Linked DNA regions of Pelodiscus sinensis. The main gene of each other region encodes a partner of the protein of the gene in region 2 in a complex. Links are inferred from orthologs where the notes say so. Each region holds a gene or a part of one and is shown on either strand. Other genes may lie near its edges. The genes, in order: SYT1, SNAP25, VAMP3 and RPH3A.

Region 1 (6,972 bases), on a different chromosome or scaffold from region 2:
AAGTTGTCTGCACTATGTTTTAAAGCTATATAGTTTTTAAGCTACATACTTTTCAATTTATGAACCACATACATTGAAATTTTGAGGAACTACATTACAGTCAACTAACATACAATATTGAGTTATGTTCCTTTTGGACACTACTAGCAGAACTACAATTGCTAGTCTTGGAGGAAAAAAGGTCTCACAAACATAAAACCAGGTCAAGTTTTATTTTTTCCAATAAAAGCAAGAATATACTAATCTGACTAATAATAAGAAGAAATAGAAAGAATTTCTTTATCCTTTTCCTCTCTGACCATTTTAACATTATTAATTTCATCCTCTACACATACACCACATTAAAGGTAAATTAAATGTATTGCCCATTGGTCATTGTAGCCAAAAGCTGCCATTTCTTAAAAAAAAACCACACACACACACACACAACAGGAAGGTTATATGTAATGTGCTTTTAAATATTGATAGGAGATCACCCCAAAAACAATTACATTATGTAACTGTGGATGCCACTCTACAAGGAGAAAAGTCTCCTCTTAGGTATACAACTGCTGGTAGCATCTGGTTTTGAAGAAGAAATAACTCTTCTAGATGAAAAAGTACATTTTAAAATGCACAAGAAAGATGAACATGAAACATGAATGGCAAAGGAGGGTACATCTGTTCAGAGGATCAATATGCAGTTTCCAGAATGAGGGTCTACTCATGAGCAACAACACATGTGTGTCTAAAATTACCGTGCTGACATTTGTGTGGAGAATTCAGCATTTGAAAGACAGGAAAATACTACTGAAATACAACATTTTACACTAAATATACAAGGTCATAGTCATCTAAGCACAGAGATCCCTCTTCTTCACTCACAAATAGATATTAAGTAAGAAAAATAAGACTTGTCTTCCCCCTGACAATCAAAAGAAAAAGATTTATTTGTACTCTAACATCTGTCTGCAGATTGTGGCCAAGTGCTTTTCTGTGCTCATTTAGGACTCCACTTGGAAAGCTTTCCAGTTACATTTACCTAGAGATTTCTCTTTACCACTTCCCATCTGACAGGAATCACTCAGCTGGGTCTGATGAATAATGGTAAAAGGCAGCTTGTATCAGTGATGATTGAATTATACTTGTTAAAACTGCCATAAAGGCTCATTCCAATGAATATATTTAATTTACTTACTCTACTCAGGGCTAGAAGCTTGTAGTTTTAAAATAAAGATTTCAGACAAGACTTGAAACAAGAAAAAAATCACCATTTCTTATGAAAAAATATTAAACATTTGTGCCACTTTTTGACTTTAGTCCCTAAACTTTTTGTAATGTGGGAGGTGCCTAAGGTAACACTCATTTAACTTTTAAACAGTCTTGAATCCATATTTGCACTCTCTGTGCCTACATGATATAGAGTGTAATATAGTAGAAACCAAGGAGAAAGAGGCATACAGAGAGGAGGAAAGAGGTGTAATTATTTGAAAAAATCTAAAGAAAATTAATTTGTCAGCTTTTTCTAAGAAAGGGAAGCAGGCACCACGGCATTTAATTAAGTAAAAAAAAACACCTTCAATACAAAGAGGATTAATTTAGTCCTCTACCATCAGAGAAGCAGGTCCTCCAGGGAACAGTGCTTTGAGAACAACACCAATGCTTCAAACAACAAGTCTTAATAAGAACATTATCTGTTCAGAGAGTGCAGGCAAATCTTGGGAAGGATTCCTTCTGTATTTTGTGACTTGAGGTTACAAGTTGTTGCTATTGAAACTCTTTTCCCCCAGTGTCAAACAGTCATGCAAGAGGGGGTAAAAGAAGGTGACAGACACTTTTATAAAAATCAACACATATATTTATTTCTAGCTGAAGAAGTCAAGTGAAAGGCAGATCCACTCGGAAGACGAGTAAAGTCAAGCTGCTTTCCCTCTCTGACAGCAGGAGCTCGAGGATTTGATTACTCTCTTGTAAGCAGTTTGATTGCTTTAGGTTCAGTTTTGTTTTTGTTTTGGGGTTTTTTTTGCCTCCAGTTTCTTTTACCCTGCAGAATCCCACCCCTCCCATGCCTCTTTCCAGCTGACGGGAAAGCAGCCTTCTCTGTGGAGGGAGAAACGCTGGGTGGCTGAGGTCTGCCAGAATTCAACCCAAATCAGGAGACACCGGACAAATTGTTTTCCGGCATCGGTTACCAGGAACATGTGCGCTCTCATCACCGCCCACACAATGGACCACCTGGGTCTCCCTCTCTTTCCCTGTGCCTCTCAACACCCCTCCCCCGCTACGGTAACCACACCATCCAAGTCACTGCAAGACAGCAAACATTGCAGGCAGATCCAGCAGAAGCACTCAAGCCTCTGCCTTACCTGGCAACCAGGGCAGGAGTCTGTTTGTCCTTCGCTGCTCTCGCCTCCTTGTCTAGTAGGAATCACACGCGCGCGCTCTGTCTCTCCCGGGAGGAGGCTGCGATACAAAAAGGTGTGCTGGGCGGGGGGGGGGCAGACCTCCCACATCCACCAGCAAGTCTGTGCACCCCCCTGCTCTGAGCGGGCTCGCTTGGCGTGGGGTGTTAAGTTTCAGCTGCTGCTGGCTGGGCGGCGGAGGAGGCGAGATACTGGGGGCTGTGCAGCTTGTAGAGCATCACCACACTGCAGCTTCTCCAGGAATCCCTCCAGCGCGAGGCAGCCCATCACCCCCTCCCCACCGCCCCGGCCGCCTGATTGGCCGAGAGGCGGGGATGCTGCCTCCGCCATCCAATCCGGCTGCAACAATAATAGGTGGACCTGCTTAGTCGGCAGCGCCCAGCCCAGGGATGTGCGAGGCTCTGTCCCCCCCAGCGGGCAAGGGGGCTGGGAGGGAGTTCCCTGCGAATGACAATCAAGGACATCAAATCAGTCCTCTGGCCCGGCAAAGTGATGACCCCCCCAGCAGCGCGGCAAGCTGGGCGCTGGAAATAGAGCCGGCTGGGTGACCTGATTCGCCCCACCCCCTGGGACTTCAGGCAATTTCTAGTGTGGCATTTACCGACCACAAAGAGAGACACAGGCAGGGAGAAGCAGGAGGTGGGGGATGGGGCCGAGAGGTGAGCAGGAGCCAAAGGCGCTAATAAAAGTCAAAGAGTCAGATAGATCCTTAACCAGAAGCAGAGCCGGAGAGGCGATGGCTGCTGCTCTCCAGACGCAAACTGAGCTGGTGAACTTGTTCTTTTCTCTGGCCCCTTTTAAATACTTTTAAAAAAAATTGCCTTCTGGAGGAGCGTTTTCCAGCCCTGCGGCGTTGAGGGGCTTGTGGGCAGGACCAGCTCATCAATGGCTGCACATAAAATTCGCCATGCATTGAGTTCTGTCTGTTGTTTGGGTTTTTTTCTTTTTACAGAGCACTTTTTATTGGCGTTTTCAGGTAAGGAAATATAAGAGCGAACTTAATTCCCCAGCTCCGTCCACTCTGAACCGGAGCTTTGATTAACATTGGTCTGCAAAATGTAACTGTACCACAAATTCAATTAACAGCAGTACATTTCTTCAACTTTTAATTAGACCTGTCCTCTTTGTCTAATGTTTAATATAACATAAAGAGTAACTCGGAAGTTCCAAAGGGAAATGGAGGTAGATCTAGATATAAATTTGGCTGTTAAAATATAAATAATGGATATAAAAAGAATAAGGTTCCTTCCTGCCTAAATTACATTATTACTGAATGTAAATTACAGGGTGTCAAGAATTACAGGATTTCTCAAAATTGCCAACTGGAAAATGTTATTTCATTTACAAAATTCTATAAATAATAATGTCACATTAATAGAATGCCATTCCTTTTCATAGGTTAAAGGTACCACACCAGGTGCAAAGATGAATCCTAATCCACACCACAGTTTGGCGATGACAGTTATTATATAAAAGCTTTAATGAATGGCAGTATATTCCATAATTACTTGCCTGCTTTTATTTAGAATGCCTAGTGAAAGATGTGTTAACATATATGATGTAAATTATGGCATCTAGCTTTGGGAAAAAGGGCAAGGAGGGGGAGCCCACCAGAGGTAGTGGAGGAAGTCATAATGCCTCATCTGCCCTTGGAAGTTTGGTCAGCAATGAGTCTTACTACAACTTCAGAAAATGGGATAGTCCTCTTTCTCTAGTGGTGTTGTTGAATGGAGGACCCATGGCTGTGCCCCATTGTTAGAATATATGCTGTTTGTCCCCATCAGTGTTAGATTGCTCCCTCTTATAGGGTACATCTACACTAGCTCATTAGTTCGAGCAAGGCAGGGTAATTAGGGCAAGCGGAGTTGCAAATGTAGCCCGGGATTTAAAGATCCCAGGCTTCATTTGCATGTTTCTGGGTGCTGCCATTTTTAAATCTCCCTTAGTCTGAACTCCGTGCCCGCGGCTACGGAGTAGGTAGTTCGAATTAAAGATCCTAATTCAAACTATCGTTATTCCTCGTGGAAGCAGTTTAATTCAAACTACCTACTCCTTGCCGCGTCTAGCCGCGGGCACGGAGTTCGGACTAAGGGGGATTTAAAAATGGCGGCACCCGGGAACATGCAAATGAAGCCCGGGATCTTTAAATCCCAGCCTTCATTTGCAACTCCGCTTGCCCTAATTACCCCACCTAGCTCAAACTAATGAGCTAGTGTATATGTACCCATACTCTCCAGGTCTAGCAGCCAAAGTGTGACTGTTTCTTCTACAGATGTGTTAAACCATGATGGGGGGGGGGGGGGCTGCTTTTACCCACCTAGTGCACCACAGAGGGAGAGAAATGTGGCATTTAACAAATTTCAGAACCAAAATGACAAACCTATTTCCAGTGTCCACAAAACTGCTGTTCTATCTCCAGATCAAAAGACACTGCCAGCTGCTTTTTATATGGCATTTACTTGGTGAGTTAAAAGAAAGCTGACTAGCTCAGTGCCAATAATTTTAAAGATGCAACATTGCATCCCTGACACCCTCACACATGCACAATAAAGTCAGTGGGAATTTTGTGTGCACAGGAATGGAGCCTCAGGTCCTTCATGCTTGAGCAGTGTTTCATTTATGTGATTTAAACCCAATGCACCCCTCCCATGATGCAGAAAGAAAGGAACAAAAATTAGTACATCTGGACAGGGCTGCATGAGAGCTACATAGTTCTCCTTGCCTATCTTAGGGGCTATCCATAGGAAGTTTTCTTTGTTTTAGGAAAGGACATATTGGCTAGGAGCTATGGCTGTGTCTACATTGGTGCGATCTTGTGAAAAACTTGCTGCCTGTCTACACTGGCTGCGAGTTCTTGCGCAAGTACACTGTCATTCTAATGTATGAAATCAGTGCTTCTTGCGCAAGAACTCTGAAGCTCCCACACAGGAATAAGCCCTCTTGCGCAAGAGGCCAGTGCAGACAGGCAACATGAATTTCTTGCACAAGAAAGCCCTATGGTTAAAATGGCCATCAGAGCTTTCTTGCGCAAGAGAGCGTCTACACTGGCATGGATGCTCTTGCGCAAATGCACATGCCAGTGTAGATGCTCTCTTCTGGAAGAGTTTTTGCATAAGAACTCTTCCGCAAAAGAGTTCTTGCGCAAGATCATGCCAGTGTAGACATAGCCTATGTGTGTGTGATGGTGTGGTGGGCATTTGCATCATGCTCCCTCTCTAACCCAGTCAAAAGAGCCTAGGACAAAACATTATTTAGCCTATGGAGTGATGTCTCTATTACCTTAAGCAAACTTCACTCCTCTACTGAACATCTGTCCACTACCCCCCTCTCATCTGGGGAACAAGGTGAGTGTTCAGCCATAAAGAGTGCTCTCAATTGCAAAAAAGTCCCTAAGGAATTCTTATAGCTATGAGAAAAAACAAGTCCTGCAACAAGTCTAGAGAGGCAACCCACAGGACTTGCTTAGGATTAGGCTAAGATTTTGTCAGCCATTTTTAGATGTGAACAAGATCATGTGAGTAATAAATCATAGAAACTAAACCCCTAGGCTACGTCTACACTAGCCCCTTTTCCGGAAGGGGCATGTAAATTTCAGCAGTCGTCGTAGGGAAATCCGCGGGGGATTTAAATATCCCCCGCGGCATTTAAATAAAAATGTCCGCCGCTTTTTTCCGGCTTTTAAAAAAGCCGGAAAAGAGCGTCTAGACTGGCCCCGATCCTCCGGAAAAAGTGCCCTTTTCCGGAGGCTTTTATTCCTACTTTGAAGTAGGAATAAGAGCCTCCGGAAAAGGGCACTTTTTCCGGAGGATCGGGGCCAGTCTAGACGCTCTTTTCCGGCTTTTTTAAAAGCCGGAAAAAAGCGGCGGACATTTTTATTTAAATGCCGCGGGGGATATTTAAATCCCCCGCGGATTTCCCTACGACGACTGCTGAAATTTACATGCCCCTTCCGGAAAAGGGGCCAGTGTAGACGTAGCCCTAGTGGTGGATCTCCTGACTTCATGGGGAGAGGAGGCTGTGCAGGCACAGCTCTGATACAGCCATAGAAAAGTCAACATCTATAGCTACATCACTTGGGGAATGGGGGAGAAGGGCTATGAAAGGACATGAAGCAGTGCTATGTGAAGATCAAGGAGCTGTAGCAGGCAAACCAAAATGTAATGGAGACAAACAGCTTCAGTTCATTGTTAGCAGCAACACCCCTTCTATACCTCCACCAAGGATGTTCACTGAAATGAAAGTGACTCTTCTTTCCTCTTCAAAGTTACTTTTGCTTGTATTTGTAAAGTTTCATTCAGTTTTAAATAAGTCTGTTTGCTTAGGTTCAGAATAAAAATCTATTTATGGAAACTTAATTCATCTTTATTAGTCTGCAACATATGGTAGCTGGGGCTGACATTATTCACAGATAACAGCAATAGGTGCATTTTTTATGTTGTATCAAACATGCAGCACTCCTTATAAGATTCATACCAAGGTGGAAAAAAACCCATGATGGCACAGCACACTGCCACAACATACATCACTGTGCTCATTCTTAAGCCTTCCTAGGCCATATAGTTTCCTGTTG
Region 2 (7,999 bases):
CTTGCAATCTTTAATACACTCTCACAACACCCTTGTACTGGTAACCCAATGTTACAGATAGAGCACTGAGGCACCAAGAGACTGAGGGTATGTCTACACTACCCCCCTAGTTCGAACTAGGGGGGTAATGTATGCATACCGAACTTGCTAATGAAGCCCGGGATTTGAATTTCCCGGGCTTCATTAGCATAAAGCCGGCGCCGCCATTTTTAAAAGCCGGCTAGTGCGAACCCCGTGCCGCGCGGCTACACGCGGCATGGGGTTCGCACTAGCCGGCTTTTAAAAATGGCGGCGTCGGCTTTATGCTAATGAAGCCCGGGAAATTCAAATCCTGGGCTTCATTAGCAAGTTCGGTATGCATACATTACCCCCCTAGCTCGAACTAGGGGGGTAGTGTAGACATACCCTAAATGACTTGCCCGAAGTCACACAAGAAGTCCCTGGTAGAGCAAGGACTTGAACCAGGGTCTCCCAAGTCCTAAGCTAGTACCTTAAGCTAGAATGCTTCCTCTCTTTAGCTAGGGCACAGGGAAGTCAATGGAAATCTGTCCACTCATTTCATTGGGCATTAAAGCAGGCCATACAATAGAGATTTAAACTGAAAATTCTGTTTACATATTCACTAAATAAGGTTGAACTGAATCTTGGGTATGCAAATGTGCTGGGTTGAATCTTGAGTAAGCAACTGCAGATTAACTCTTTGAAAATAATATATTACTGAAGGTGTAAAAACAATACAGCTTAGATCAAGTGAAAATGTAATCACATACAGCCTGGAGTAAGTAATTGTTTCTCTCATTTATGTCTCTCCACCAAATTCAGTGTAAGATACAAAGCAGCTACATAAAGGTCTTGATCCTGAGATATACAGATCACTTACATCTCCCATGGCAATGCTCAGCTCCTCTAATATTCAGGCACAAAACAAATGTAAATGGCAAAGTAGTTCATCATATTGATGAGAAAGTAAAAAATAAGGGGAATTGACTGCCTGTTCTTTCAAAAGCATTATCTGGTGTAGGCAAAATGTTAAAATTTGGATGTATAATGTTAAGCACCTCTGGGAGTATGTGTGGCCTGTGAAACATTTTGTTTATCCTTGCCCACATGCAGAGTTGCCAGATTCCACTTGTTTCTGCCCGTGTCATTTTTTTCCTACTGGTATTGCTAACGTGACACTCAGGTAAAACAAGGACACATGAAATGAGGTGCGTGCTGATTGCACGCAACATTGACTGTCAGAGACATGAGCATCCAATCAGAGTGCTGCTATGGTTTAGCCAGCACACCCTGCAAATTCTAGGTATGCCAGCGCAGGTCGCAAAACTACGCTATCCTGGGAGACTGTCTTGGTTACAATAGTCTTGAGGCCCACAGAGATGACAGAGGGCCACTTACGTAGCCCTTTCGCTAGCCTAAGTTGCCCATCACTGATCTCAGGCAATATCTGGGCACCTAAATAAAAATGGCTCAATTTTCAGAACAAGCACAGCTCCTATTGCTTAGCAGCTCTAAAAAGTAGGCCACTTACATATAGATGCCAAAATGTGTATTTCGTTGCGTCATTTTATGCGCCAACGTTCGGAAACTGATGTGTCTTCAGACATTCAACTACTCTGTGAAAATTCACATTCCAAAAGAGAAAAGCTCTTTCTCTTTCTTGGCAAGTCCAGAGAATCTACTACCAGCTTATATATTTTCAAGCACAAATAAATACATCCACAAACAGCCATTCACAAAAATGTTAGTCTTGGAAAATGTAGGGGGATGATCTGGGGGGTCTATTTGGGGGTCTGACTTCAGTGAGGGAGGCAGGGAGAGAGGTGTGTGTGCATCTGTGTGTAGTTCTACCCAGCCTACTCTGATTTTAGGAGGCTGAAGAGGAGGAAAGATTTTATTTAAACCAGCTGGACAACTTTCACCATCTTTCTGATTCTTGAATGATGTATGAAACAAAAGTGTTGTGGTTTTCACACTATCAGTGTGTTCACAGGCTCTGCATTCAATATCCTCAGTAGACTCACTGACAATAATGTAGGAATGCTGTTAATATAATATACATTTGCATCCAGCAAAGCAAGTTCATTTTCTCATTACTCATGGATTGTGCCTGAATGCACTAGCTCTTCAGCTGGCTGAATAGCTGAATCATTCCTGGAGCCAATTTCGGTTCCTTTCTTCAGTCTCTCCTGCTATCTTGTTTTTAGGCCTCGTTTCTATCAGTTCTCAGATTTGCTATTCAATGAATATTTAAATGTTTTCATAAACAGATGATAAACTGGTATGCATCCCACTAGTTCATTTTTTTAAACTGAGTATCACAAAAGTGTTACTGAATCAGCTAAAATTTGCTTAGCAGCATTTCTTTCAATAGATTTCTTAGTACTTAGCTGCAAAAGGCTGCTTTCTTGTATGTCTCAGAACAACTTATTCCACCTTTGTAAACAACATCTAACATATCCTTTACCCATATAACATTAGACATAAACAAGTGAGTTTTGCCCAGGAAAGCTCTTGATGCTATATATTTTGGTTAGTCTCTAACGTGCCACAGGACCACTCGTTTTTAAAGTTACAGACTAACAGGGTTACCCCTCTGAGATTTTTTAACAAGATGGATGGTTATTCTTATTAGAACTACCAGTCATTGTGCATGGTCTATTTAATCAAACTGTCCCACTTTGTTTTATTAAAATATGAGTGTGGTGCAGTGGGGCTTGAAAGCTCATTTTATATTCCAATCCAATTTTCTTACAATTGAACTTGTAATAATTCTTTTGTCTGCATAAAGATATTCTCCATCTGTGACATCTCACTTTTTGCACATTTCCTCTTCTTTTCCCCTGTCACAAAGTCTGCTGTTGGAATTGCATAGTTTTTCTAACATTGAATTTTATGTTGCCAACAGCACTCTTTCCTCTCCCCCTCCCAACTTTTTATATAATGGACCAAATTCATCCCTGGTTTAATTCTAATGGGCTTTAGTGCTCCTCAAAGGCATTCTTTGGCACAAAACCAATCAGGATTTTGCAGTGCTACTGACCTAATCAAAGCAGCAGTTTATAACTTGCCTTTAGTTTCACTTCTTTATTGTTAATTATTGCACATTATTTATTAACTGCTTCACTGGAAATCAAACTTCATTTCAAAGTGCATGTCTAATAGACTGTTTAATTTTTTTTTACTTTAGATTTCTATTGACAATTTACAAACTCTCATAAATGTGCCTGCTGACTCTGTATTTTTAACATTCTAGATTTTATCTAGAATCTTCACCTAAGCAAAACAATGGATAATGTTAAAACATACAGGACCGGGATAGAAATGGCTTGCTTTTCAAAACTGGCATTTGTGTTAATAAATCTCCTTATTAAATAGTATTAATAGGGATATTTTCCCAAATGTCTTAACTGGATAGAGGAGATATACAGACATTAATTATAATTCATTATATTATGTAATATCATTATTATTGCAGACCTTAAAACTGGCAGGTTTTTTTCCTCTCCTGGGTCTTCCATGTGCATAGATTATGGGATATTCTATCAAAGAGCCCCTCTTGTCTGGGAATGTTTTGTGTGGTATAATTAGCAAACTTTTGAATGTCTTATTCCAAAAGAGGACATATTTTCGTGGGAGGGGATGCCAGCTGCTGTGATTGCTAGGCACGATCGACAATCACGTTTTTCTGTGGGGCACAACAGAGCATGGGAGGAGAAATCACCGGCTTTTCTCTCTTCCCTCCCACACGCTCCACCAGACAATCACAGGAGATGCAAATACAGCTGCATAGCATTTAGTCTCTCCGGGTTTTCCCAGCCACGCCATACGAACTTGATTAGGTTAGAATGTTCCCTAATCGGGGGGTTGCTTTTTGACTCAATATTATCCACGCATTAGTTTGGGGGGAAAAAAGTCAGGATTTCCCTTATGCGCACTGAGCCGTCACCGAATAGTTCCTGTTGACAAGAATGGCTGAGCCTGGGAAATGAATGAAGCATCTTGGTTTATGTTTGTTTAATTGCAGATCTGGCTAGTTATATAAGAGAACTCTCAACTCTGTATAGAATAAAATGCGTGCTCTAGTCGATGGTACGAAGTCGACACTAATGCTTCATTTTAAAAACAGCCAATATTTTGTAGGAAACCAAAAACCCCAGCGCATTTTTAATTTCCACTTCTAACATTCAAATTAAATAAAGACAGCTCGATTTGTTCCAAATAAGGTGCGCTCTGAAATGATCATGCCGTTAATTAATAACAAATAGCATCCCGTTTCTCTTGGAACGGATTAACCATTTGCATCCCTGGTGGGACGGGTTTCTTTTACTCTCTGATTTCCCCCCCAGAAAAGATAACAAAATTCGCGTGTTTTAAAATCTGGAGTATCTTTGAGTTGGTTGGTTTTTAGGAGGAAAATTGGTCAGATTAATACATAGAGACACCCCCCCCCCCCCTTCCCCTGGCATGATGCTCTGAAGGGGGAAAAAACTAAGAAATCACACACCAAAATAGCAACCCACGTAGACTGGCCATATATGGAGTACCAGAGACTTCACAGGGATACCCTTCTCGGACCACCCCTTTAGCGAAAACAAATCACTACTGCATTCTCCTCTCCCTCCAAAAAATGATTCCAGCAAAGTACCCCCCCCCTCCCTATACACACACACCATCAATCGGCCCCCCGCTTGCCACAGAAAACCAGCGGCTGCATGGGGCACCCTGGAAGATCCCAGCCCATCACATGGCGGGTTGGATTCTGCGGAGCTAATTTGGGGGGTGGTTTTCTCTGGCGTCTCTTGTTAGTCAACTGGAGGCGAAATGCAAAGGATTGCAGCAGCAGCCTCTGACGCCTCAGGCTCGCGCAGACTACTCTCTGCCTCTCTCCCCCCTCCCCCCGCCACTTCCTCTCCTCCCCCCACCCCCTGATAGATGTCTATTAAAAGCTGCTGACGTGGGAAGGGACGGCCATCTTTGATGAGGGCACAGCTCCCATTCCATTGAAGAAGGAGGCTTGGGGAGGTCAGGAGCGACTGTCCTTTCCTCCCAAGCCGGAGCCGCAGCAGCCGGGCTGAGAACCGGCCGCGGGGCTGCCTGCACCGGAGCCTGCCTGCAAAAGCCAAGGTAAGGGAGCGCGCCGGGACACAGCCTTTTGTCTCCTGCCTGTGTCCGCGGGCACGGCCGCTGCTGCAGGCGGGGAGGAGAGCGGTAACCTCCACACCTTCTGTCCGAGCATTGTTTCTCGGGGACTGATTGTGGGGCTTCCCTCCCCCCCACCCCAAAAAAACGGGCTGCGGAGCTGGCTTGTGTGCACCGGGCGGGCAGTGGACATGCAATAACCGCTGCATTATTCCCCCTTCCCTTGGGGGACAGGGAGCAGGTGGCACCTCTGTTTCCCTGGGGTCAATAGCCTCCAGCACCGGGCGGTCGCCCTGTGCCCACTGCAGCAGTGTGTGTGTGTGTGTGTGGGGAGGGTCAGCACCTTGGCCAGCGGCGCTCGCCTGCAGCCTCTGGGGTAGAGCCCGGTTCAGGACCTTGGAGAGCGACTAGCGCCGGGCCGCAAGTTTAGGGGCGCTAGGGGGACTGTGAGCACCGTGCAGCATCAGCGCGGGTGCAAAGGGAGCCGCGTCCCTGTGACACGCTGCAAAGTCCTGGGGAGGGAGTGAAGGAGAAACGCCCTCCCCCGCCTGCCCTTCCACCCCCATCACCTCCACGGCAGCGGGCTATGGGGTGAAGTGCCCGTTCGGGTCTTATTTGTACCTTCCCAAGGCGCTTCCCTCTAGCCCGGTCGACTGCCCAAATCAATCGCTCGCCAGTTTCCTCCCCCCTCCAGCCCTGTACCGCCTCTGAATCCAGCAGCCCGGGCTGGGCTTGCCCGCTCGGCTCTCCGCTTTTCCCGGCTGCACCGCCGCAGCGAGCTCGCCCGGGGCTCGAACCCGCGGCGCTGCCGGTAGCGGGGGGGGGGGGGGGGGGGGTAGTGTTTGTGCTTTGCAGGCGAGCCCCGGGCACTCGTGCTCTGCTGCTCTAACGCACCAGGAGGGGTGCGGGGAAAGCAAAGCGCTCGGGAGGGCTCCCTGGAGCTAGGGGGCGGGACGGGGGCGGATGTACCCCCGCCTGTAGGGATCGGACCGGGTCTCCCCCCGGGCCGTGCGCCCCCTTGCCCGGAGACCCGCTGGCTGCAGTCTCCTTGGAGAGTCCCGCGGCGCCGAGCCTGTGCCTGGGTCCCGTGTGAAACCCCCCTGGCCCTAGGACTGAACACACACGCGCGCCAGCTGCCCGGGGACTGCAGAGCCCCGCGAGCGGAGCGGGCCGCCTTATGTAACCGGGCCGCGCTCCCCCGGGGGCAGAGCCCAGCGCGAGGCAGGCGGCCGGGCGGGTCGCTTTGCAGGGCGAGCCCGCGGGATGGGGGGTAGCGGGGGGGGCGAGGCCGGTTCAACTTCATCGGCCGCCTCTGCTGCTGCACGTCCCGCCCGCTCCCTGGCGTCGCTGCGTCAAAGCTGCGCTGCTGGAGCGGCTGCCCCCTGGACGTGCTGCTCGGGCATTAGTGAAGCGCGGCTGGGCTCGCTCCCCGCCGGGGGAGGGCCTCTGCAGTGGCGCCCAAGGGAGGAGGCGGGGGCCAGTGTCTCCCCCTGGGCTGCTCGGAAAACCTGGGTGAATTGTGGCCGTCACGTTCCTTGGGCTCCTGCAGGGGTGGAGCATGTGATGCCAGGGGGGTGGCTGGAGGCACATCCGCACAGGCCGGAGGCTAGTGGAGATGCAGAAGGACCCCCAGGAGAAAACCACCATCCATGCAGAGGGGCCGGAAATAGACATGGGGGGAGGGCGCCTTGCTGCCAACCCCCCTCCCCCCGTTTGAAGTGGCTTCTGTCCTATAGGGGAAAAAAACCAGCAAGCAAAGGGTCTCGTAGCACTTTATAGACTAACGAAACATGTAGATGGGATCGTGAGCTTTCATGGGCGCAGCCCACTTCTTCAGATGACCGGAGTTAAGATTAGAGGATAAGGAAATTCGAAATAAATAGGAGAAGGGAAAGGGGGGGGGGTAAGAAAGATGTTCTGTCACCCACTCCCTACCTCTGTGCATAAAGTATCTAGAGAAAGGGTGCTAAACCTGAGTAGATAAAGATCAAAGTCAGTGGATGCACAGATTGTTCCAGCCTCCTGCTGCCACATTCACCAAGCCAACAGGACAATTCACATTGTATACCAGACTCTGTATATTCACTTGGGTCTGCCTGGCAGGCTACCCTGAAGGGGAAGGAGATCAAAGAGTGTTGGGAAGCCAGAAGACCCCTGCCCCTCTTACCCTGGGCTTTCAGCTCCAGCCTTTGGAGAAAGGCAGGACCTGGCAGGAAATCGGTCATGTCTGTTTGGGTTCTGTCTGCTGCCAGCAGTGGGTGAACAGGACGGGTTTGCTCTCTCCTCCAGGCTGGGTGCGCTCCAGCCTGGTTTTACGCAGAGCAGGCAGGACTTGGAAATGCACCTCACAAAGGGTGGAGGAGGACCACTGCTCCACTATTACTGTTGCAGGGAAGGTAATTTTCCAGGGATTAATTTGTGCCAGTGGAGTTGATCCCTGGCACCTCTGTTTTGAAAGTATAAAAAAAATATTGAAGTCCCTGAACCTAATTGCTTGCGCCTGGGCACCTCTTTCATTATATAAGTAAGCACTGTAATTTTCCTGCTGGTCAGCATCAGAGGTGGAAAATGTGGCTCAAACTTCAGTGCTGGTGTGAGGGCAATTTTGACCTTTGCAGGCACCATGACACTAGCTGGCTGGATAGAATGACGGGACTGCAGCCCCTTCCCAGCAAGGGCTGAGAGTCCAGTAACACCATTTAGGGGCCATGGGATATGTGTAGCTGCCAGGGAGGTGAGGATGAGATCACAGTGCTCCTTCAAGGGAGAGAAACAGAAAAAAAAAGAGTAAAAAGATGGGAAAGGCAGCAAGAGTTAAGGGCGAGCGGGGAAGAGGAAGGGAGAAAGGAAAGTGTTG
Region 3 (6,936 bases), on a different chromosome or scaffold from region 2:
CTCCTCCAGTTCAGCCACCCTGTCCTCCAAAGCCCGAACTCGGTCTCTGAGGGTCAGGAGCTCCTTGCAATGGCTGCACACATACGCCACCTGCCCACAGGGCAGGTAATCGTACATGTTACACTGGACGCAATAAACAGGATAGCCCCCACTCTGCTGCTGGGCTTCTGTCTCCATGTTTGTAATGAATAAGTTTAAGTATAAACTGGGATTCTTTTTAAACTTCTGGAGTATAGATTATTCTAAGAGTTAGGTTTTAAAGAAGGACACAAGTCACTAGTGCCCTCTAAACTCCCTCTCCAAACTCTCCTGTTACCTGTTCCTGGTCATGCTCTCCCTGGTCGCTGAGTCACAGGCTTATATAGCTCTGGTAGTCCCTCCCCCTGCCTGAGGCTCGGCCAATTAACAGAGGCTTCTAGATTTCAAACCTTTTAGAAGCTCCTTCAAACAAACAAACCAAACAGACAAACACAAGCTCAGCACACTGCAAACTCCCCCCCACACAAACACACACTCCAGACAGCCACTTACCACAAGAGTCCCGTTTTTACTCCTCTTTTACCTGGAGAACTCCCTCTCCAAACTCTCCTGTTACCTGTTCCTGGTCACGCTCAACACAATTAGTTGATAAGGGAAAGCACTACCCCACTCTGACTCAATTAGCCTCATTTTACACAAGTACCCTCGTTTGTTGTATGTGTGCAAATTGTGTGTGCATATATCTACACACACACACACACACACACAGCCCCTCCCTCAGTAAATTCCACTCCAATACATCTGATGAAGTGAGTTTTACCCATGAAAGCTTATGCCCTAACAAGTCTGTTAGTCTCCAAAGTGCCACAGGAATCCTCAAAGTCACTATAAACACCCTGCGGAGGCCAATTTAGAAGATACTCCATCACACTGTGACATTTTAAAAACAACACCAAATTACCATGTTTAATTCATAAAAGAAAACAGCACAAAACCAAAAGAAAACAAAAAATCCCCACAATACCTCTCCCTCAACCAGCTAGGCCAAAGAAACAAAAGGCTATACCTTTCTTTTGTTTAAAAGGCTCCCTCACTAGCTAGTGGCTCAGATGAATGCCTTTGTTTATTTCACAGCCATCAGTCATGGAGTCAAAGCAGAACCAGAGTTTACACCATCTCTGCACACTATCTAGAAATAAAGACTTTTTTGACTCAGACTTTAAGGTCAGAAGGGACCATTATGATCATCTAGTCTGATCCCCTGAACAGTGCAGGCCACAGAATCTCACCCACCCCTCCCAGAATAATCCTCTCACCTAGATCTCAGATATTGAAGCCTTCAAATACTTTGAAGGCCCCAAGATGCAGAGAATCCTCCAGCTGTTATCTGTGCCCCATGCTACAGAGGAAGGCGAAAAACCTCCAGGGCCTCTGCCAATCTACCCTAGAGGAAAATTCCTTCCCGACCCCAAATATGGCGATCAGCTAAAGCCTGAGCATGTGGGCAAGACTCACCAGCCAGACACCCAGAAAGTTCTCTAGAGTAACTCCTATCATCCCTCCATTGGCCTATTCCCACTGATAATGAATGGTCAATTAGTTACCAAGATCATGTTCTCAAACCAACCCCTTATCATAGAACTGGAAGAGACCTCAGAAGGTCATCAAGTCCAGCCCCCTGCTCTAGGCAGGACCAATCCCATCTAAATTTCTGTCACCCTAATACAGGGGCAGGCAAAATATGGCCCAGAAAACTGCAAGATCCGACCCAGTACCATGCTGTGGACTAGCAGGGGCTTCAGGCAGACTCCCTGTGCGCTGCCTCCACCCAAGTTGCTCAAAGTGGCTGGCTGTGGTGGGGGCCACCTGCCCGTGGCCCTTGCAGCTGACCACAAGGGCCCGGCAAGTAGGGAGCCTGCCCGTGTCCACTTGGCTGCAGGCCAAGAGCAGCCACCTAAATGAGGCACCGTGTAGCCCGAGCCTGGCCCCCCCCAGACGCGCCCCCCCCATGTAGCCCGAGCCTGGCCCCCCCCAGACGCGCCCCCCCCATGTAGCCCGAGCCTGGCCCCCCCCAGACGCGCCCCCCCCGTGTAGCCCGAGCCTGGCCCCCCCCAGACGCGCCCCCCCATGTAGCCCGAGCCTGGCCACCCCCCCAGACGCGCCCCCCCCATGTAGCCCGAGCCTGGCCGCCCCCCCAGACGCGCCCCCCCCGTGTAGCCCGAGCCTGGCCGCCCCCCCAGACGCGCCCCCCCCATGTAGCCCGAGCCTGGCCCCCCACAGACGCAGCCCCCCCCGTGTATCCCGAGCCTGGCCCCCCCCACGCGCCCCCCCATGTATCCCGAGCCTGGCCGCCCCCCCAGACGCGCCCCCCCCATGTAGCCCGAGCCTGGCCGCCCCCCCAGACGCGCCCCCCCCATGTAGCCCGAGCCTGGCCGCCCCCCCAGACGCGCCCCCCCCCATGTAGCCCGAGCCTGGCCCCCCCCAGACACGCCCCCCCATGTAGCCCGAGCCTGGCCCCCCCCAGACACGCCTCTCCCGTGTAGCCCGAGCCTGGCCCCCCCCAGACGCGCCCCCCCCCGTGTAGCCCGAGCCTGGCCCCCCCCAGACGCGGCCCCCCCCGTGTAGCCCGAGCCTGGCCCCCCCCAGACGCGCCCCCCCCCGTGTAGCCCGAGCCTGGCCCCCCCCAGACGCGGCCCCCCCCGTGTAGCCCGAGCCTGGCCGCCCCCCCAGACGCGCCCCCCCGTGTAGCCCGAGCCTGGCCCCCCCCAGACGCCCCCCAGCAACCGCCGAGAGCTGGGCGGCCGCAGGGCCCGTCACACCCTCCCCGGGCCCCGCACTCACATGGCGGCGGCGCGAGCCTCTGCGGGGGAGTCTAACGGCGCGAGGCGACACACAGCACTGCACCGGAAACCGCCGCGGGGCAGGCGGGCGCGGTCCGGATGTGACGGTTGGGGGGGCGGGGTCGGACACGCCCCGCCCCCAGCCCCGCCCACCGACTGCTCCCGAACATCGCGTGCTCGCCGCGTGCGCCTGCGCCTGCGCCTGCTGCCTTGGGCACTGTAGGGGCAGGGGGCGGGGGCTTCGGGCTCCTGTGTGTCCCGGGGGGGGTGGGGGGGACAGGCGGGGGCGGGTGTCTGTGTGTCCCCGGGGGGGGGGGGACAGGCGGGGGCGGGTGTCTGTGTGTCCGGGGGGGGACAGGCGGGGGCGGGTGTCTGTGAGTCCCGGGGGGGGGGAACAGGCGGGGGCGGGTGTCTGTGTGTCCCCGGGGGGGGTGGGGGGGACAGGCGGGGGCGGGTGTCTGTGTGTCCCCGGGGGGGGGGGACAGGCGGGGGCGGGTGTCTGTGTGTCCCGGGGGGGGGGACAGGCGGGGGCGGGTGTCTGTGTGTCCCTGGGGGGGGGAACAGGCGGGGGCGGGTGTCTGTGTGTCCCGGGGGGGGGAACAGGCGGGGGCGGGTGTCTGTGTGTCCCGGGGGGGGGGACAGGCGGGGGCGGGTGTCTGTGTGTCCCGGGGGGGGGAACAGGCGGGGGCGGGTGTCTGTGTGTCCCGGGGGGGGGAACAGGCGGGGGGCGGGTGTCTGTGTATCCCGGGGGGGGGAACAGGCGGGGGCGGGTGTCTGTGTGTCCTGGGGGGGGGGAACAGGCGGGGGCGGGTGTCTGTGTGTCCCGGGGGGGGACAGGCGGGGGCGGGTGTCTGTGTGTCCCGGGGGGGGACAGGCGGGGGCGGGTGTCTGTGTGTCCCGGGGGGGGGACAGGCGGGGGCGGGTGTCTGTGTGTCCCCGGGGGGGGGGGGACAGGCGGGGGCGGGTGTCTGTGTGTCCCGGGGGGGGGAACAGGCGGGGGCGGGTGTCTGTGTGTCCCGGGGGGGGTGGGGGGGACAGGCGGGGGCAGGTGTCTGTGTGTCCCGGGGGGGGGAACAGGCGGGGGCGGGTGTCTGTGTGTCCCCGGGGGGGGGGGACAGGCGGGGGCGGGTGTCTGTGTGTCCCCGGGGGGGGGGGGACAGGTGGGGGCGGGTGTCTGTGTGTCCCGGGAGGGAGGACAGGCGGGGGCGGGTGTCTGTGTGTCCCCGGGGGGGGGAACAGGCGGGGGCGGGTGTCTGTGTGTCCCGGGGGGGGGAACAGGCGGGGGCGGGTGTCTGTGTGTCCCGGGGGGGGGGAACAGGCGGGGGCGGGTGTCTGTGTGTCCCGGGGGGGGGAACAGGCGGGGGCGGGTGTCTGTGTGTCCCGGGGGGGGGGACAGGCGGGGGGCGGGTGTCTGTGTGTCCATGGGGGGGGGACAGGCGGGGGCGGGTGTCTGTGTGTCCCGGGGGGGGGACAGGCGGGGGCGGGTGTCTGTGTGTCCCGGGGGGGGGAACAGGCGGGGGGCGGGTGTCTGTGTGTCCCGGGGGGGGGGACAGGCGGGGGCGGGTGTCTGTGTGTCCCGGGGGGGGGAACAGGCGGGGGCGGGTGTCTGTGTGTCCCGGGGGGGGGGGAACAGGCGGGGGGCGGGTGTCTGTGTGTCCCGGGGGGGGGAACAGGCGGGGGCGGGTGTCTGTGTGTCCCGGGGGGGGGGAACAGGCGGGGGGCGGGTGTCTGTGTGTCCCGGGGGGGGGGGAACAGGCGGGGGCGGGTGTCTGTGTGTCCTGGGGGGGGGGGAACAGGCGGGGGCGGGTGTCTGTGTGTCCGGGGGGGACAGGCGGGGGCGGGTGTCTGTGTGTCCCGGGGGGGGACAGGCGGGGGCGGGTGTCTGTGTGTCCCTGGGGGGGGGAACAGGCGGGGGCGGGTGTCTGTGTGTCCCTGGGGGGGGGAACAGGCGGGGGCGGGTGTCTGTGTGTCCCGGGGGGGGGACAGGCGGGGGCGGGTGTCTGTGTGTCCGGGGGGGGACAGGCGGGGGCGGGTGTCTGTGTGTCCCGGGGGGGGGAACAGGCGGGGGCGGGTGTCTGTGTGTCCCGGGGGGGGAACAGGCGGGGGCGGGTGTCTGTGTGTCCGGGGGGGGACAGGCGGGGGCGGGTGTCTGTGTGTCCGGGGGGGACAGGCGGGGCGGGTGTCTGTGTGTCCGGGGGGAGACAGGCGGGGCGGGGTGTCTGTGTGTCCGGGGGGGGACAGGCGGGGGCGGGTGTCTGTGTGTCCGGGGGGGGACAGGCGGGGGCGGGTGTCTGTGTGTCCGGGGGGGGACAGGCGGGGGCGGGTGTCTGTGTGTCCCGGGGGGGGACAGGCGGGGGCGGGTGTCTGTGTGTCCGGGGGGAGACAGGCGGGGGCGGGTGTCTGTGTGTCCGGGGGGGGACAGGCGGGGGCGGGTGTCTGTGTGTCCGGGGGGGACAGGCGGGGGCGGGTGTCTGTGTGTCCCGGGGGGGGACAGGCGGGGGCGGGTGTCTGTGTGTCCGGGGGGGGACAGGCGGGGGCGGGTGTCTGTGTGTCCGGGGGGGACAGGCGGGGGCGGGTGTCTGTGTGTCCCGGGGGGGGACAGGCGGGGGCGGGTGTCTGTGTGTCCCTGGGGGGGGGAACAGGCGGGGGCGGGTGTCTGTGTGTCCCGGGGGGGGGACAGGCGGGGGCGGGTGTCTGTGTGTCCGGGGGGGGACAGGCGGGGGCGGGTGTCTGTGTGTCCCGGGGGGGGACAGGCGGGGGCGGGTGTCTGTGTGTCCGGGGGGGGACAGGCGGGGGCGGGTGTCTGTGTGTCCCGGGGGGACAGGCGGGGGCGGGTGTCTGTGTGTCCGGGGGGGGGACAGGCGGGGGCGGGTGTCTGTGTGTCCCTGGGGGGGGACAGGCGGGGGCGGGTGTCTGTGTGTCCCGGGGGGGGGACAGGCGGGGGCGGGTGTCTGTGTGTCCGGGGGGGGACAGGCGGGGGCGGGTGTCTGTGTGTCCCGGGGGGGGGAACAGGCGGGGGGCGGGTGTCTGTGTGTCCCGGGGGGGGAACAGGCGGGGGCGGGTGTCTGTGTGTCCCGGGGGGGACAGGCGGGGGCGGGTGTCTGTGTGTCCGGGGGGGGGACAGGCGGGGGCGGGTGTCTGTGTGTCCGGGGGGGGACAGGCGGGGGCGGGTGTCTGTGTGTCCGGGGGGGGACAGGCGGGGGCGGGTGTCTGTGTGTCCGGGGGGGGACAGGCGGGGGGCGGGTGTCTGTGTGTCCGGGGGGGGACAGGCGGGGGCGGGTGTCTGTGTGTCCCGGGGGGGACAGGCGGGGGCGGGTGTCTGTGTGTCCGGGGGGAGACAGGCGGGGGCGGGTGTCTGTGTGTCCGGGGGGGGACAGGCGGGGGCGGTGTCTGTGTGTCCCGGGGGGGGGACAGGCGGGGGCGGGTGTCTGTGTGTCCGGGGGAGACAGGCGGGGGCGGGTGTCTGTGTGTCCGGGGGGGGGACAGGCGGGGGCGGGTGTCTGTGTGTCCGGGGGGGACAGGCGGGGGCGGGTGTCTGTGTGTCCCGGGGGGGACAGGCGGGGGCGGGTGTCTGTGTGTCCGGGGGGAGACAGGCGGGGGCGGGTGTCTGTGTGTCCGGGGGGGGACAGGCGGGGGCGGGTGTCTGTGTGTCCCGGGGGGGGGACAGGCGGGGGCGGGTGTCTGTGTGTCCGGGGGGGGACAGGCGGGGGCGGGTGTCTGTGTGTCCCGGGGGGGGACAGGCGGGGGCGGGTGTCTGTGTCCCCTGGGGGGGGGGACAGGCGGGGGCGGGTGTCTGTGTGTCCCTGGGGGGGGGACAGGCGGGGGCGGGTGTCTGTGTGTCCCGGGGGAGGACAGGCGGGGGCGGGTGTCTGTGTGTCCCGGGGGGGGGACAGGCGGGGGCGGGTGTCTGTGTGTCCCTGGGGGGGGGGACAGGCGGGGGCGGGTGTCTGTGTGTCCTGGGGGGGACAGGCGGGGGCGGGTGTCTGTGTGTCCCTGGGGGGGGGGACAGGCGGGGGGTCGGGTGTCTGTGTGTCCCTGGGGGGGGGACAGGCGGGGGCGGGTGTCTGTGTGTCCCGGGGGGGGGACAGGCGGGGGCGGGTGTCTGTGTGTCCCGGGG
Region 4 (7,284 bases), on a different chromosome or scaffold from region 2:
GGATTGAGGTGTTTGTGGGGGGAAGGTGGTAGCTCAAGCCAGAGGTTGTGGAGGTGGGAGTACAGGATGCAGGGTGGCATGGGGGGTGCAGGAATCAAAGCAGAGGTGGGGGCTCAGGACAGGATGGTTGTGGGTATGCAGGAGTCAGGAGGTTGTAGTATGGAGGGTCAGGGCCAGCCTTAGGGAAAATAGCACTCTGAGCAAATTTGAATTTTGATGATCCTATGAACATGGTGTTCCCTTATTTCCCCTGACACCCATAGGCTCCTTAAGTTCTGCACTCCATCACACTGACTCTTGCTCCCCTGCAGCACCCTAATGCCTACACTGTACCCTTAATCCCTGCCCTGTTCCCTCTTCGCCTCTAACCTCTGCATGGTGCCGCCTTCGCCCCAACTCCTGCCCTTCCTGCATGTGCCCCCCTCCCTTGTCCTTCCACTCTGGGCCCTCATCTGCATGTGCCACCTTCATCCCTGACCCCTTGCATCTCCCTCCAGCACCCACACTGGGAAATGGGCTTGGATGCACCAAGCGCCTGGCATTGTGTTGCTCAGGGCCAGCCACAGGGAAGGGGCTCCTGGGAGCGGGGGGAACTAACTGCTCTGAATGAGGAGAGCCCAGTGGGATCCCAGCAAGCAGGAGAGGCTGAAAATTGGATCTTCCAGTCTCTCCTTTCCAGGCCTACCCAGTGTTGAGGCAAAATGGCCTCCTACTCCTCCTCTCTGGGGGCCCCCTGCCAAGATGCAGGGGTCAAAGCACAGTGAGGTGTGTGAAGCACTGGGGAGACCTCAGACACACGCTCTGGCCTCTCTCATTGACACCCTACAGTGGGCTTTGTCCCCGGCCATTTCTTCTTTCTTTGGGCTAGACTCTTTAGCAAATTCCAGATGCCTTGGCATGCAACACCATGAAACAGCCCTTTCTCCTCCATACAGTGCTTTAATGCCCATTCTCTCATCCAGCCTCACCTCTGTGGGGAGTTACAGAAGTGGCGCACCTCTCATTGGACACATTGGTTTTTGAAATCATGACTCAATATGGATGAAAATTCTTTGCAAAAAGTTTTTTTTTTAAACAAAAGAAAAGCCTCTCCTGTTTGTCATATACTGTTTGGTTGTCTCCTCACACACAGAGAGGAGACTCTTTGGTTCAGAAAGTCGGAAAGATGCTTTGGCCCGGGTTAAGGAGTTGCTCCTCTTAATGATCTAAACATAATAAAATACCAATAAAATTGACTATTTCAGCTATTATACAGCAGAGCCCCATTTATCACATCGAATTGGGACCGAGGCCAGATCAGATCATCAAAAATTCAGACAATCATGAGGAGAATAAGAAAGTGTGAGGAGAAACACAGTGTGCCTTCCGAGCCTGTGTTGCTGGGTTAACATGGAAAGCTGGTCCTGTAATGACTCCATGTGAGAAGCCACCTTACATGATACATTGTTCCTGGCTACGCTCTCAGATGGATCATCACAGCTCCCCAGCCATGACACAGTTAGAGAACATAGTTGCACCTAATTGACAGAGGGGAAAACAAAGGCTGAGGAAGGCAAAGGGCTTTATCTTAGGTCACATGGACAGTTGGGGCAACACTGGGAACAGGACTCGGAAGCCCTGGCTTTCAGTCTGGAGTTTCACATACTGAATGATCCGAGTAAAGTGATCTCAAGGCGCTACAGACCCACAACTCGTCCTAATGATCATTCAGCATGGCTGTGTCTACATTGGCACCCTTTTCCGGAAAAGGGATGCTAATGAGACAAGTCGGAATTGCAAATGCCACGGGGGATTTAAATATCCCCCACGGCATTTGCATGAACATGGCTGCCACTTTTTTCCGGCTTGGGGCTTTGCCAGAGAAAAGCGCCAGTCTAGACGGGATCTTTCGGAAAATAAAGCCTTTTCCGGAAGATCCCTTATTCCTGATTTTAATAGGAATAAGGGATCTTCCGGAAAAGGCTTTATTTTCCGAAAGATCCCGTCTAGACTGGCGCTTTTCTCCTGCAAAACCCCGAGCCGGAAAAAAGCGGCAGCCATGTTCATGCAAATGCCGCGGGGGATATTTAAATCCCCCACGGCATTTGCAATTCTGACTTGTCTCATTAGCATCCCTTTTCTGGAAAAGGGTGCCAATGTAGACACAGCCCAAATGTTTTAGAAGCAGAAGAATGTCGGTGGTGGGGAAGGGGCTTAGGAACTGATCAGAGATAATCAATGGTGAGGAGCAGGACAGTTCCCCGTTGATGATTCGTTCTGTCTCATTTGCCAGGCCTTAAAGAGAACAACAAAAGTCCTGAGTCTCCTCCTGGTCACTGTCCTGCCCCCTCTCCCACTGAGCCAATCATCACTGAGACTCTGAGGGCAGGGCAGTTGTGGGTTCCCCTCAAATGGCCCAGAGATGGCTCAGGTCACCAGTGGGAGTCACTCAGAGCATTCTTCCCGTCCCATCCCTTTGTCAAGGAACAGCCCCCTCCTCACCGAAGGAAAACCAAATACGATGAACTCCGATGCCTCCAGTGATGAGGGACAAAGGTCTAGGTGGGAAAAAATTCTCCCACCTTCACCCAGGTTGCATCTACACAGCACTCTTACCTCGAAACAAGCTATGCAATTTGCACTACGCCAGAATAGTGCATCCATTATTTCAAAATCTGTTTCAAAATAACAGGCTGCTTTAAAGACATGGAATAGCTATTTTGGGATACTTCCGGTATCCTGAAATAGCTCTGCAGTGCAGATGTAGCCTTAGTGTGTTTCCTGGCCTTCAATTTGGCCAGCATCAGATGGATCAGGCTGCATTAGTAACAAACCTCTCGTAGATTTACTTTCTCCTCAGGGATGTTTGTCATCTAGCTCAATTAGTCATGGGAAAGGCCAAACCCCCCAAGGAGCCTCCTCCTTGTGCTCATGCCATCACCCTGAATTCTCTCAGACCTCGAAGGCAGACCTCAAAAGACGTCTCCCCTAGCAAAGTCAGGAGGGTCTCTGAGATTGCCCCAGCCCTGCAGCCAGTCCCACCAGGCTGATGTCATGGTCTTTCTGTGAAGTCCCCACCACCCAACTGCCTTTAGCCAATCAGATGAGAGGCTGAAAAAGGCCCTTGTGATGTCACTGCCACACCCACGCCTGCCCTGCAGAGCTAATGTCCTGTCCCTGGCCAACTCCTGCTTCTCTTAAAACATAAGAACATAAGAATGGCCATACTGGGTCAGACCAAAGGTCTATCTAGGCCAGTATCCTATGTGCTAACAGTGGCCAGTGCCAGGCGCTCCTGTGCCACCCTCACTCACTCAGTGTTAATTCTGGGGATCAAGCAGGCTACACATGGGAACATCAATGGCTGCTCAGTGCCACGCACAATTCTGGAGAGATATGCAGACTTTAAGACCAGAAGAAACTGTTAGATCATCTAATCTGACCTTCCCTGCCTCCCCTATTGATGAAATAATGGGCAGAGAATGTACCCCAAGACTGCACTCAAGAGTCTGTATCACCATCTACATACACAACAGCCCCGTGCTGAGCTTATGCTCAGAGGTCCCTAACCTATTTATGCCCAAGATCGCTTTTGGAATTTAAGGGCAGCTCAAGTTCCACCCTGTCCTGTCCCTCAAGCCTCACCCTTTCTGCAAAGATCTGCTTAAGGATATTAAGAGGCAGGTAATTGACTAATTGAGTAGTCAATACAATTTGTACTGTAGGGGCTACCCCGCTGTGGCTCTGCAGTTTAAATGTAGTAGGAGTCAAGCATGCAGGAAGCAGCCCTGTCTACGTGTGACCTCCCACCCCCCAAGGACAGAGGCTGTTTTGCAGCAGCCTCCCCTGCCCATCCTGCTGTTGCCTCTGATAGAGACAGCAGCAGGGTGTAGGGGGAGGAAGGCAGCATCACAGAGATGGTGCTGGGGGGAACCAGCTTTTAAGCTACCTCCCCTAAGCATCGGTTTCTGTTTCCCAGCCCCTTGCTGCCTCTGATACAGAGGCAGCCAGGAGGGTGGAAAGCAAATACTAGCTTACATCCCTACCTGTGCTCACTCCATCCCCCTCTGTTACTCTCCTTTCCCCCTACCCTCATTTACTTTTTCTGGGCTGGGGCAGGGATTTGAGGTTCAGGGGTGCAAGAGGAGGGGTGCTGGCTCTGAGGGCGGGGTCAAGGCTAGAGCATGATGTCACAGAGCCCCCCCATGCTTTGACATAATTGGCTTATGAATATGAATATGCATAGTTCAGACACTTTATGCAAAACAGATCATGTAACATATCATTTTAAAAGTTGTAATCCACTGAATCTGTATATCTGTTGTTGTGCATGTGGCCTTCTTGTCTGTGATATCTGTTTCATTACTCCAGGTATTCTAGAAAGAGCCATGAGTGAAACTTTAGGAACTTGATGAGTTGGTGATCAGGTCAATAGCCTGTGAATGGTTTTATTTTTCTGTAAGTCCAAATTGTGGTTGGTCCTATTAAAAACATGTGGTCAGGCTACCTGATGCTGTAATCTATTTTGGATTTGGTGCTTTTCCACTCAAGGTGAGAAAAGTTTGAAGTGAGCACAAAGAATTCCCACCTTGGGCAAAAAGGATATAATGAGGAAACCAAACAATATTGGGAATGGCCAGATTCCAGGAGACCCTGGAGTTACCACCCAACATACCTGCTGGAAACATTTAATACTGAACACGGGGCAGGACTGGGCTCAAGCTAGAAGGTTGCCTAAAGGGATAATCGGAACAACTGTTAGGGTAAGAATTTGCATATAATAAGTTTTGCAGTAAGTGAAGATTAGCTGGCCTGTTTTGTTTATTTTGGCTTGGTAATGCACTTTGATCTGTTTTCCATTGCAACCATTTAAATCAGTAATAAGTGTGTGTCACTTTTGTAATACGAGTAGGAAGAAAACAATGCGGATGAAACTCAGCAGAATCTGGCATCCCTGCACATGGGCAATGGCAAACAAAATGTCTTGTGGACCACACATAGAACTCTGATGAGCCACAGGTTGCCCACCACGGTCATAAATCCTACTTTTTATACATATCCCCCATCCACCATAGCAGCAAGGGGCAAATGGTCCCTCCCCATAGCCAAAAAGGTGCTGGGCAAATTCATCATGGTTTTCACACTCACTGCTGAGTCCCAGGAACAGACTATATTATTTTCATTAGGCTTTTTATTGTGGTAGCCTCTTAAGGCCTCAACTCAAGGGCTTTTTTGCTCCAGGAACTGTATGAATATATACTACAATATACTCCCTGTCCCAAAAAAAGCTTAACCTACAACAATGTGCAACAATTATTTCCTTTTTAAAATCACTCAGCAATCATTAACTTACAGCAAATGCTCATGCCCAGCAAGGGGCCCTGCTCCCAATCAGAGGCTGGCCAGAAACACAAGAAATAATCTCATGTGAATGTCTGCCAGTCTCTTTTGGCAGTAATATTCCAGTTTTTCCTTGGTTTGTCTTGTGTATACAATGGTTTGGAAAGAGATTTTCTGCCTAGAGAAACCAATCAGAATTGTTACTAGAGATATGCAGGTGCCTACTTCCTTATGTATGAGAATCTGGATATAGGAGCATCTGTCTATTATGGGAAGAATACTGACTGATTCGAGATGAGACTCTCCCCTCATATGGGCTAGTCCTTAGACACAAAATCCTCATCACTAAAACAAAAAGCAAACAAATGTGCAATTCAGTTTTTCAAGATTATTGGCTTGACAATCAGAGAGAAGCATTAATTTCCTCTCCCTCTTTTTAAGGCTAGCTGCTCTACAACCCTTTTGTCATTTTAAGCTTCAAAAAAGAGGTTTGGCTTTTGAGGCTCATGCTAATGGAAACAAAATTGAATCATGGGCCAGATTCTGATCTCTATTCAGAAACCTTAATGGTGGAAGTTCAGTGAGTGAAATTTAAACATATGAAGATGAAGTACCCAGTTACAAAATAAGAAAACATGGGCACCTACCTCACGGAAAGTAGTTTCATGTACACCAATACTGCAGACATGTGCCTGTGGTTATAGATAATCTGCAAACTTTTCTCCTGTGGTTACAGGCAAATCTCACTCTCATTCAGTTAGGACTGTCCATTTCCCATGTATCTAAGCAGAGGCTGGGCTATAATGTCCTCTCTCTACTCTTTTCTTTACTGCTGCTCCTGCCAAATCACAAAGCGAATTCATCCACTGTCCAAAAGATGAGTATTTCCTCACATTCCTTGTGACCAATGTAGTGTTCATGGGATTGCTAATTTGAATGGGGGCAGTCAAGATATCAGAACTTCAAGGCTGTCAGTCATCACACAAAAGAATACATACAGTGAGATTTTGGATACCTGCAGAGCAACACACAGTCTTTTCCTTCCTGGGTTTGGTTTTGTTTTGTTTTGTTTTGCATACTCCTTTTCTGGCTTATCCCTAGTCAATTTACATATTGGATAATCCAGCTGCTTTTATTTCTATGGTGTCAATTTTATTTTTTACTTTAAAAACGGTTTTCTTCTTGGCTTCATCTGCTCTTTGCATTTCATACATGAGACAACCATTATTCTGCTCAAGTTGACTTTTGGTCCCGTAAAGGGGACCAAATATTTGAACTAGTAGAGCATTATAAATATCAGTTATGTGTCCCATATAAAAGGACATCTTTAATTGAGATACTGGAAACTCCAAACTTAGCTATGAACCAGAACAATGCCATGAACAATTTGTTCAATGTATTCAACCACTGGTGAGTCTAGGAGTGATATATATTGTTTGTTTCCAGGTCATATTTTGCACTTCACGTTGTTATGGTTATTTGTTTTCCCTTTCAAGTTTCTGGAGAGCTCAACCTAGCTCCTTTTTGCCCACTCTCATCTTCAGTTTGTTCCTTTGCTCTTCATTTCAAGAGGTTTTGTCAGAGTAGGAAAATTTCCCTAAATTGAAATCCAGAGGAGAGAAGAAAACAAGGTACAAGCTAAATCTGTGAGCAATTTCTACTAGGGTATTCATAAATCTACTCCAAGAAATTACAGTGTAGTACACTCTTGCTACAGTTAAGAGCAAGAGCTACAATCTTCCTCTGTCAGTTATTTTTCAAGTTTCCAGAGGAAGGAAGCTTTCCCCTTCTCTTTTCCCTAAAAGAATTAAATACTCTGATCATGCAAAAAATGCTGCAATACATAAAATGAATTTGACAGGCTCAGCCCAGTGCTGAGTGTCTACACCACCAAAACCTGCACAAGTTACCATGTCAATAATGGTTGGTGTTATTTTCATTTTATGGTTCTTCTGGATCCTGTGT

What was found.
Region 1: the proteins of SNAP25 (region 2) and SYT1 are in contact, whole or in part, in a crystal structure (PDB 5KJ8), measured with the Rattus norvegicus proteins. The link is inferred for Pelodiscus sinensis from reciprocal best matches to the Homo sapiens genes SNAP25 and SYT1. Residues at the interface, in NP_112253.1 of Rattus norvegicus: Lys40, Asp41, Ile44, Leu47, Val48, Asp51, Glu52, Glu55, Gln56, Arg59; in NP_001028852.2 of Rattus norvegicus: Cys277, Arg281, Lys288, Val292, Leu294, Glu295, Asn336, Tyr338, Asn340, Arg398, Arg399, Pro400, Ala402, Trp404.
Region 3: the proteins of SNAP25 (region 2) and VAMP3 are in contact, whole or in part, in a crystal structure (PDB 5KJ8), measured with the Rattus norvegicus proteins. The link is inferred for Pelodiscus sinensis from reciprocal best matches to the Homo sapiens genes SNAP25 and VAMP3. Residues at the interface, in NP_112253.1 of Rattus norvegicus: Asp147, Leu150, Glu151, Val153, Ser154, Ile157, Leu160, Arg161, Ala164, Leu165, Met167, Gly168, Ile171, Asp172, Gln174, Asn175, Ile178, Asp179, Ile181, Met182, Ala185, Asp186, Asn188, Lys189, Ile192, Ala195, Asn196, Ala199, Thr200, Met202; in NP_476438.1 of Rattus norvegicus: Ser15, Arg18, Leu19, Gln21, Thr22, Gln25, Val26, Glu28, Val29, Ile32, Met33, Asn36, Lys39, Val40, Glu42, Arg43, Lys46, Leu47, Glu49, Leu50, Arg53, Ala56, Leu57, Gly60, Ala61, Gln63, Phe64, Ser67, Leu71, Lys74.
Region 4: the proteins of SNAP25 (region 2) and RPH3A are in contact, whole or in part, in a crystal structure (PDB 5LOW), measured with the Rattus norvegicus proteins. The link is inferred for Pelodiscus sinensis from reciprocal best matches to the Homo sapiens genes SNAP25 and RPH3A. Residues at the interface, in NP_112253.1 of Rattus norvegicus: Glu38, Asp41, Ile44, Arg45, Leu47, Val48, Met49, Asp51, Glu52, Glu55; in NP_598202.2 of Rattus norvegicus: His617, Ser618, Ala621, Ile648, Ser649, Ala650, Lys651, Gly652, Leu655, Tyr659, Leu662, Lys663, Lys665.

Annotation. Positions count from the first base shown.
Region 1 is NC_134711.1:69,980,080-69,987,051, reverse strand, and holds the start of SYT1 (synaptotagmin-1), read right to left. Parts: upstream 3,011-6,972; 5' UTR 2,346-3,010; intron 1-2,345. UniProt on the Homo sapiens protein: Calcium sensor that participates in triggering neurotransmitter release at the synapse. May have a regulatory role in the membrane interactions during trafficking of synaptic vesicles at the active zone of the synapse.
Region 2 is NC_134713.1:189,935,147-189,943,145, reverse strand, and holds the start of SNAP25 (synaptosomal-associated protein 25), read left to right. Parts: upstream 1-4,993; 5' UTR 4,994-5,127; intron 5,128-7,999.
Region 3 is NC_134733.1:25,559,928-25,566,863, reverse strand, and holds the start of VAMP3 (vesicle-associated membrane protein 3), read right to left. Parts: upstream 3,014-6,936; 5' UTR 2,823-3,013; coding exon 2,821-2,822; intron 1-2,820. UniProt on the Homo sapiens protein: SNARE involved in vesicular transport from the late endosomes to the trans-Golgi network.
Region 4 is NC_134725.1:35,604,049-35,611,332, reverse strand, and holds the start of RPH3A (rabphilin-3A), read right to left. Parts: upstream 3,002-7,284; 5' UTR 2,814-3,001; intron 1-2,813. UniProt on the Homo sapiens protein: Plays an essential role in docking and fusion steps of regulated exocytosis.